Macaca mulatta: one gene and its partner. The protein of the gene in region 1 purifies or fractionates together with the protein of each later gene. This does not show direct contact. Links are inferred from orthologs where the notes say so. Each region holds a gene or a part of one and is shown on either strand. Other genes may lie near its edges. The genes, in order: MAP2 and PRKACA.

Evidence for each region.
Region 2: the proteins of MAP2 (region 1) and PRKACA purify together in Homo sapiens (affinity purification with mass spectrometry; 3 studies listed by BioGRID and IntAct, with this or other methods). This does not show direct contact. The link is inferred for Macaca mulatta from reciprocal best matches to the Homo sapiens genes MAP2 and PRKACA.

What each region holds. Positions count from the first base shown.
Region 1 is NC_133417.1:114,860,150-114,863,967, reverse strand, and holds part of MAP2 (microtubule-associated protein 2), read right to left. Parts: coding exon 2,590-3,818; intron 2,368-2,589; coding exon 2,161-2,367; intron 1,990-2,160; coding exon 1,855-1,989; intron 1-1,854. UniProt on the Homo sapiens protein: The exact function of MAP2 is unknown but MAPs may stabilize the microtubules against depolymerization. They also seem to have a stiffening effect on microtubules.
Region 2 is NC_133424.1:14,682,076-14,685,893, reverse strand, and holds part of PRKACA (cAMP-dependent protein kinase catalytic subunit alpha), read left to right. Parts: intron 1-828; coding exon 829-955; intron 956-1,044; coding exon 1,045-1,140; intron 1,141-1,232; coding exon 1,233-1,355; intron 1,356-3,818.

The DNA of each region.
Region 1 (3,818 bases):
CATCCTCTTCAGGTAGGTTATAGAGTTTTTATGCTAAATCAAGAGATTCTGCTTGCCCAAGCAATTTTGCTATTAAGTTAAATGAAGCTATTAATTTGCTATTGAGTTTAATGAAGTTCTAAGTTTAATGAAGCTAAAAACCTGAGAAAATGAACTGAGGTGTGTCATGTTAATTTCTAACTCCTAACTTCAGAGATATTCTTCATCCTGAAGCTTTATCAAGGTTTGCATATATACAAGCCTTCCATTTTCCAATTCGGCCTTAGATTCTTGTTTTTGAAGGAAAGCACATGATATGATTTCTAGATGAAGAACACAAATACAAAATACTTGGAATTTTCAATAACTAAAATAAAACCATCAATTACCTTGATTTTCTCTTTCTCACAAAGGCTAATGTTCCTTTTAACCTTTAAAACCATCCGAAGATTTATATAGAGGCACTGATGATGTACAATGGAAAGAAAAACATTCTTTTCTGATTTAGCGATCTGTCATTTTGTAGGCTACAAGCATGCCACTTAATAAACTCTAAAATAAAATATACTGTAAGATTATCCTAGTATAATTAAACATATAAAATAAATACTTTGCACTGAAATTTAGAAAAAAGTTGGCATTACAGATATTTGTAGGGGTTTTTATGATGGTTTCCAACATGTTTTATTTCTTTGTTTTATCAGTTTTATAAACTTAGGAAAAAATATGTATTTGAAGAAGAGAAGTGAGTAGACAGCAGGCTGGGCGCGATGGCTCACGCCTGTAATCCCAGCACTTTGGGAGGCCTAGACAGGTGGATCATGAGGTCAGGAGTTCAAGACCAGCCTGGCCAAGATGGTGAAACCCCATCTCTACTAAAAATATATATACATATATAAATTAGCTGGGTGCACACCTGTAATCCCAGCGACTCAGGAGGTTGAGGCAGAAGAACTGCTTGAACCCAGGAGGCGGAGGTTTCAGTGAACCGAGGTCGCGCCACTGCACTCCAGATTGGGTGACAGAGCGAGACTCTGTCTCAAAAAAAAAAAAAAAAAAAAAAAAAAAAAAAAAAGTAGGTAGCAAAGTAAAAATAAACTGAAGTTTATTTCTAACTTAAGTTCCTCCAAAAAGGAAGAGTTTTCGCTTCAAATTTTTGAATACTAAATTATATAGAAAAGTTGAGTAGTTTGGATCCAACATATTTAAGAAAATCTCCATGACACAAGGTCAGCTAAGAGATGTAGTTTAGTAGAGTGAAAACCTTGTTAATTTTGGATATGAGGAATAAAATCTGATATAATTACCAGAAAATTTTGTTTTCTTTTTTTTTTTTTTCCAACAAAAGCAAAGTCATAGTAATTTTGTAAACCACAATTTCACTTCCTGGCTTGCTTTTCATTTTCAGTATCTAAATCACTACACATTCTTGGTGGTTTTCAATAAATTCATCAACATCAGTAACAGATTTGGCAGTAACAATGTAGAAAATAGGACAAATATTTATGGGTTTAAGCATGAGAGGGATAAATAAGCAAAATAATGAGAATGCATACCACAGTTAAATTCATCGCCATCGTCTAACCAAACACACAGAATGAAAATAGGAATCCCCAGAACGTGACACTAGAGCACAATGCCAAGATACAATCACGCACTGTTATGTCTGAGCATGACAAAGAAACAGATGGTCATGACCTTTTCTGTAAGGAGGGGGAAAAAAAGAATAATGATACAAGACACTTAATAGCAAATTTTTCATAACTGCTGAGATTCTTGGAAGAAAAACAAAATGAAGAAGCTGCTACAGTAATGAGATTTAAAAAAAAATACATGTCTATGTTTGCCAGTCACATTGCAGAATTGAACAGTCACCTGTGGTTTTCCGCTTAACACAGGAGAGATGAGTTGGTCTAGTATATTTGATAGCAGGTTTTAAAATGAATTTCCTGGAGGGAGAGTGGGCCTGAACTTCTGTTTTTTTAGCAAGTTCAGCCTTCTTATAAACTGCTATGAATAAGAAAACACAAAAAGCATACCATCAGGAAAAAATAAACACTTGGAGCAAAACCGAACGAAATTTTATAAATAATTAGTTACCACTGTTAGGCAGTTCTTCTGCAAAAAAGTAATAATGAATTACTTCAAAAACATTTTTAAAGAAGTGATTGTTAAATGAACCTTTTTTCCTTCTCACTTCATCTCTGGAGACTGTGCTAGGTTCCTTTTTAGCTACTTTTCTTTCAGGAGTGGAAATTCTGCCTCTCCCGGTTTTAAAAGGCTTTTCTTTTCTATGTTTCTCAAGAGATGATCTCCGAGCTTCCTTTTCAGCTTTCTCCTCTTTAGGAATAGTTTCTAACTGTTCTGTCATGATGCTCCTATCATCATCTGTGGATCAAAGCAAATCATGACAACAACAACAACAACAACAACAACAACAACAGTGAAAACATTAGTAACAAGTGTACAAAATCCTTTGTATATTTAACAAAATGCAAAACAAAGAGATAAAGAGGTATTTTAAAATGTTTAAGTGAAAAAAAAATCCCATAAGGTTATTGTGTTTGAGTTGAGAGTAGAAAATTTAAAAAAAATAATAATAATGCACACCTTGAGTGTCCACCCAGAGGCTGTCAGCATCCATGATGGAGTCGTCAATGGTGGTCTCGTCTTTGTAATCGTCATAGGTTTCTGTCTTATATTCAGAAAATGCAACCTCTTCTCTCTCAGGGGAAGCTGGAGCCTCTGGGGAACCATCTTTGGGTTCTGCCTGGGCTTCAGCTGCCTCTTCTACTTCAAACTCTTCTTCGTCATGAGGAGATGGTCTCCTTTCCACCTCAGGCTGCTCTAGTGCTGCAAAACGCACGCTGTGGGACCCTGACTCCCCTTCATCAGTTGTGGTTTGCACTACAGTGATGAAATCATCCTCGATGGTCACAACAGACTCAATCACTCCTTTGTGTTCACCTGGGCAGGTCTCCACAAATTCCTCCCTGGCACCTGAGACACCCAGGTCAGTAATCTGAAGGGTGTCTGAGCGGAAGAGCAGTTTATCATATTCTCCCTGGGCTTCTATCTCTTCTTCCTCACTCTGAATCTCTGCTGGTTCAGATATGATTGCTTCATGCAATGGCTCTGCAACATCAGAAGGCGTGATGGATATATCTGGGGTCTCTTTGCTTTCTTCTTTTGGCCCCTGAATAAATTCCATCTGGACATCAGCTCTCTCATCTGTGGCTAAATCAGCCTCTGAAACAGCAGGTGGGCAAGGTATTTCCACCGACAGTTTGACAGCAATCTCATCTTGAATTAGAGATGATTCTGGAGATGTTTCCTTCTTGCCCTCATCAGCTTTCAAGGACTCCATGGTAAGACTTTCATGCTCACCACTAGACTCATAGGACTCCTCCTTGTCTACAGCCTCCTGGTGCACCAAGTCAGGCTTGGCCACCTTCTCTTTGACTTCTGTCTCACTAACTTTGATGCCTTCTTTCATGTGGCCAGACTCGACACCCATAAATGCATCTACCTCCTGCGGTGCTTTGGATGAGGGGGTCATGTCCTGTGTAGCCTCAAGTTTTAGCTCTGTTGTCCTTCTATCATCTATGTTTAGCCCTGAAGCCATCTGTCCAAAGTCACTAATTTTAACATCTAGTTGACCCTGGACAGCAAAATCCAGACCTTGTTCCACCTTTTTGGATGATTCTACCTCAGCTACCTCTGGCACTGAACTAAGACCCTTCTCCGCTTTCTCAGAGGATGCATCTGTTGGTATTGACAAATCTTTGGCCAAAGCTTGCTCATAGGTTACTCCTAATCCGAATGTTTCTACTTCATCA
Region 2 (3,818 bases), on another chromosome or scaffold:
TCAGCAGTTCGAGACCAGCCTGACCAACATGGTGAAACCCTGTCTCTACTAAAAATATAAAAATTAGCCAGGTGTGGTGGTGCATGCCTGTAATCCCAGCTACTCAGGAGGCTGAGGCAAGAGAATCACTTGTTTCCAGGAGGCGAAGGTTGCAGTGAGCCAAGATTATGCTACTGCACTCCAGCCTGGGCAACAGAGCAAGACTCCATCTCAAAAAAAATACTGAAAAAAAATATATATATATACACACACACACACATCTCTCCATACACACAGAGGTGAGATCTTGCCTGTGTTACCCAGGCTGGTCTCGAACTCCTGGGCTCAAGTGATCCTCCCACCTCGACCCTCCAAAATGCTGGGATTACAGGGATGAGACACCGCACCGGGCCAAATCCCTTTCTCGACACGTCACCTCCCCGCCAAAGGCAGTTGTCCTTTCTGACTTCAAACACCGTGCCTTTGTTTTGTCTGGGCGTGGACATGATATAAATGGAATCATTCATGTTCTTTTGTGTCTTCTTTTGCTTTAACATAATCAGTTTGAAATGCAGCCACGTTGTTGAGTGGATGCATGGGCTGTCCTGTTGGCAGTGGTGGTGGTGAGTGGAATTCCATTATATGACTATAGCTCAGTCTGTGATTCCATTCTCCTGTGGGTGGACCTACAGGCTATTTCCCGTGTCGGGCTATCTAAGAATCAGGTGCCTCGCATTTCTGACAGCTGGACTGGAGTTGTCTTCCTCTGGGGAAGGCTCTGCAGGGCCACCTGCTGGACCATTTTGGGGCATGGCCACTGACATTCACCTCTCCATCTGTCCCCATCAGCGAGCCCCATGCCCGTTTCTACGCGGCCCAGATCGTCCTGACCTTCGAGTATCTGCACTCGCTGGATCTCATCTACAGGGACCTGAAGCCGGAGAATCTGCTCATTGACCAGCAGGGATACATTCAGGTGCCCACCAGGCCGGGCGAGGGGCAGCCCTGGGGAAGCCGTGGCCTGGACCCTCCCTTCCTGCCAACTGCCTGTTCTTGTGCCCACAGGTGACAGACTTCGGTTTCGCCAAGCGCGTGAAGGGCCGCACTTGGACCTTGTGCGGCACCCCTGAGTATCTGGCCCCTGAGATTATCCTGAGCAAAGTAGGCGCCTCCCAGCCCTCCCCTTCCCCTGAGGCCGGCTCTGCTCTCCTGCTCGCCCCCTCCTCACCCTGTGCCCCCCCATCTTGCTCCAGGGCTACAACAAGGCTGTGGACTGGTGGGCCCTGGGGGTTCTTATCTATGAAATGGCCGCTGGCTACCCGCCCTTCTTCGCAGACCAGCCCATCCAGATCTATGAGAAGATCGTCTCTGGGAAGGTGAGGTCCGGCTGCGGGGACACAGCCCTGGAAGAAACAGACCCTCCCCTGCTCACTCATCCTACTCCCTGGGGAGCCCTGCTTGTTGTCAGAATAATCTAGAAGTTCCTTAAGTCAGGCCAGGTGGTGAAGCTGGACGCACCGGCAACACTGAGGCCAACACCTTGAGGCCCCCTCACTGTCCAGCCCCAACCCCGCGGTTCCAGAATCCCAAGAGCTTCCAAAACCCCAAGCCTCACAGAAACTTCTTGGCCGCAGAACACAAACCGCCCTGCCAGGCAACCCTCTTCGTCACTCCTTGTCCCAGTTAGTGTGAGTTTTCGCAAATTCCAAGGCAGAAAAACCAGTGTATTTGGTTCCTGTTCCCAGGTGCTGTCCGCAGCCTCACCAAGGAGTGCTCTCACTTAGCGTTTACAGCCCATGCTTCCTCTCCCAAACCCAGACTTGCCTAACTCTGAGGGTTCGGATGAGGGGTGCTGAAACCACCTCAGCTCACATCTGTGACAGGCGCAAAGTGCCTGCCATCCACCAGGCCCTAGAATCCCCCCATCAGTCACACCCTGAGATGGTGGCACCCTCTGCAGGAGAGGTGAGGAAACAGGCTGGGAAAAGGGATGTGTCTTGGCCAAGATCACACTTTGGTGAGTAGGTAATCATCGTAGGCACTAAGAGCAGGAGAGAGGTTGGGGACCCCACCTGTGCCCTCAGCTCAACCACCTTGCTGGGAAGACCCGACCATCCCCCGACTTGGTCCAGCATCTCCTACACAGGAGCTTTTGGTCGGCCCAGAGTCACGACACTGTGGTGGCAGCGTCCTCAGGCTCAGCCTGGGCCCCAGTCCGGACCCCAGTCCCAGCTCTGCCACTGATTGGCTTTGAAACTTTGCATTTGGGTGCAATGGCTCACGCCTGTAATCCCAGCACCTTGGGAAGTGGAGGCTTCAGGCCAGCAGTTCCAGACCAGCCTGGGTAACATAGCCAGACCCCATCTCTTAAAAAAAAAAAAAAAAAAAAAGCTAAAAATTAGCTGGGCGTGATGGTGCACCCCTGTATTCCCAGCTCATCAGGAAGCTGAGGCAGGAGGATCACTTGAGCCCAGAAGTTCAAGGCTGCAGTGAGCTGTGACTGTGCCACTGCAAACTAGCCTGGGTCACAGAGCCAGACACAGTCTTTTAAAAAAATTCAGGCAAGTGGGGTGCCCGGCTGGACACATAGCATCACTAAAAGGGAAAGATGAAGGCCTGGCACGATGGCTCATGCCTGTAATCCCAGCACTTCGGGAGGCTGAGGCAGGTGGATCACAAGGTCCGGAGTTCAAGACCAGCCTGGCCAACATAGTGAAACCCCATCTCTACTAAAAATACAAAAATTAGCTGGGCATGGTAGCAGGCACCTGTAATCCCAGCTACTTGGGAGGCTGAGGCCAAAGAATTGCTTCAACCCAGGAGACGGAGGTTGCAGTGAGCCAAGATCACGCCATTGCACTCCAGCCTGGGCGACAGAACAAGACTCCGTCTCAAAAAAAAGGAAAGATGAGGCATCTGCCATGGGTGGAATAGAAACTGCCAATAAAATGGCCCAGAGTAGGCCGGGCACGGTGGCTCACGCCTGTAATCCCAGCACTTTGGGAGGCCGAGGCGGGCGGATCACGAGGTCAGGAGTTTAAGACCAGCCTGACCAACATGCTGAAACCCTGTCTCTACTAAAAATACAAAAATTAGCCGGCTGTGGTGGCGTATGCCTGTAAATCCCAGCTACTCAGGAGGCAGAGGTTGCAGTGAGCTGAGATTGCGCCACTGCACTCTAGCCTGGGCAACAGAGCAAGACTCCATCTCAGAAAAAAAAAAAAAGAAAGAAAAAAAAGAAAATGGTCCAGAGTGGAAAAAAAGAAAGAAAGAAAAAAAATCACAGAAGATCCCATAGGAGAAGATGCACATGACTCCCTTCTTTGTAGCATTTTCTAGTTCCCCCACACCCTCAGTGGTGTTATCTCCCTCGTGCAGCCCTGGGATATCTGCCCCACATCTGAGAGGCATGCACAGGCCCAGAGAGGTTAAGGGCCATGGCCAAGGTCACAAAGCGTGTAAGAGGCACAGCAGGAACAAGAAGTCGTTTCTTGCAACTATTAACTCCAGTGATGACTTGCATACAAGGCTATGGGCTCAGAGTGTATGGGGAAAACTTTCAAGAAGAGTCGAGCTGCACTTTAAAGAATGGAAGAGCCTTAGCTATGCAGAAAGAGAGGAGAGAAAAAGTTTGTCATAAGCATGAATATTTCAGAAGTCTCTGAACCCCAGCAGAGATGCCTTCAGCAGCAGCGGCAGCAGCAGCAACTGAGAATACAAGTTCTAGAGTCCAGTAGACCTGAGATGGAATTGCCCCATCCCATGCCTCAATGTGACCTTGGAAGAGCTGTTTAACCCTTCCAAGCCTCAGTTTCCCCTTCTCTGAAATGGAAATCATC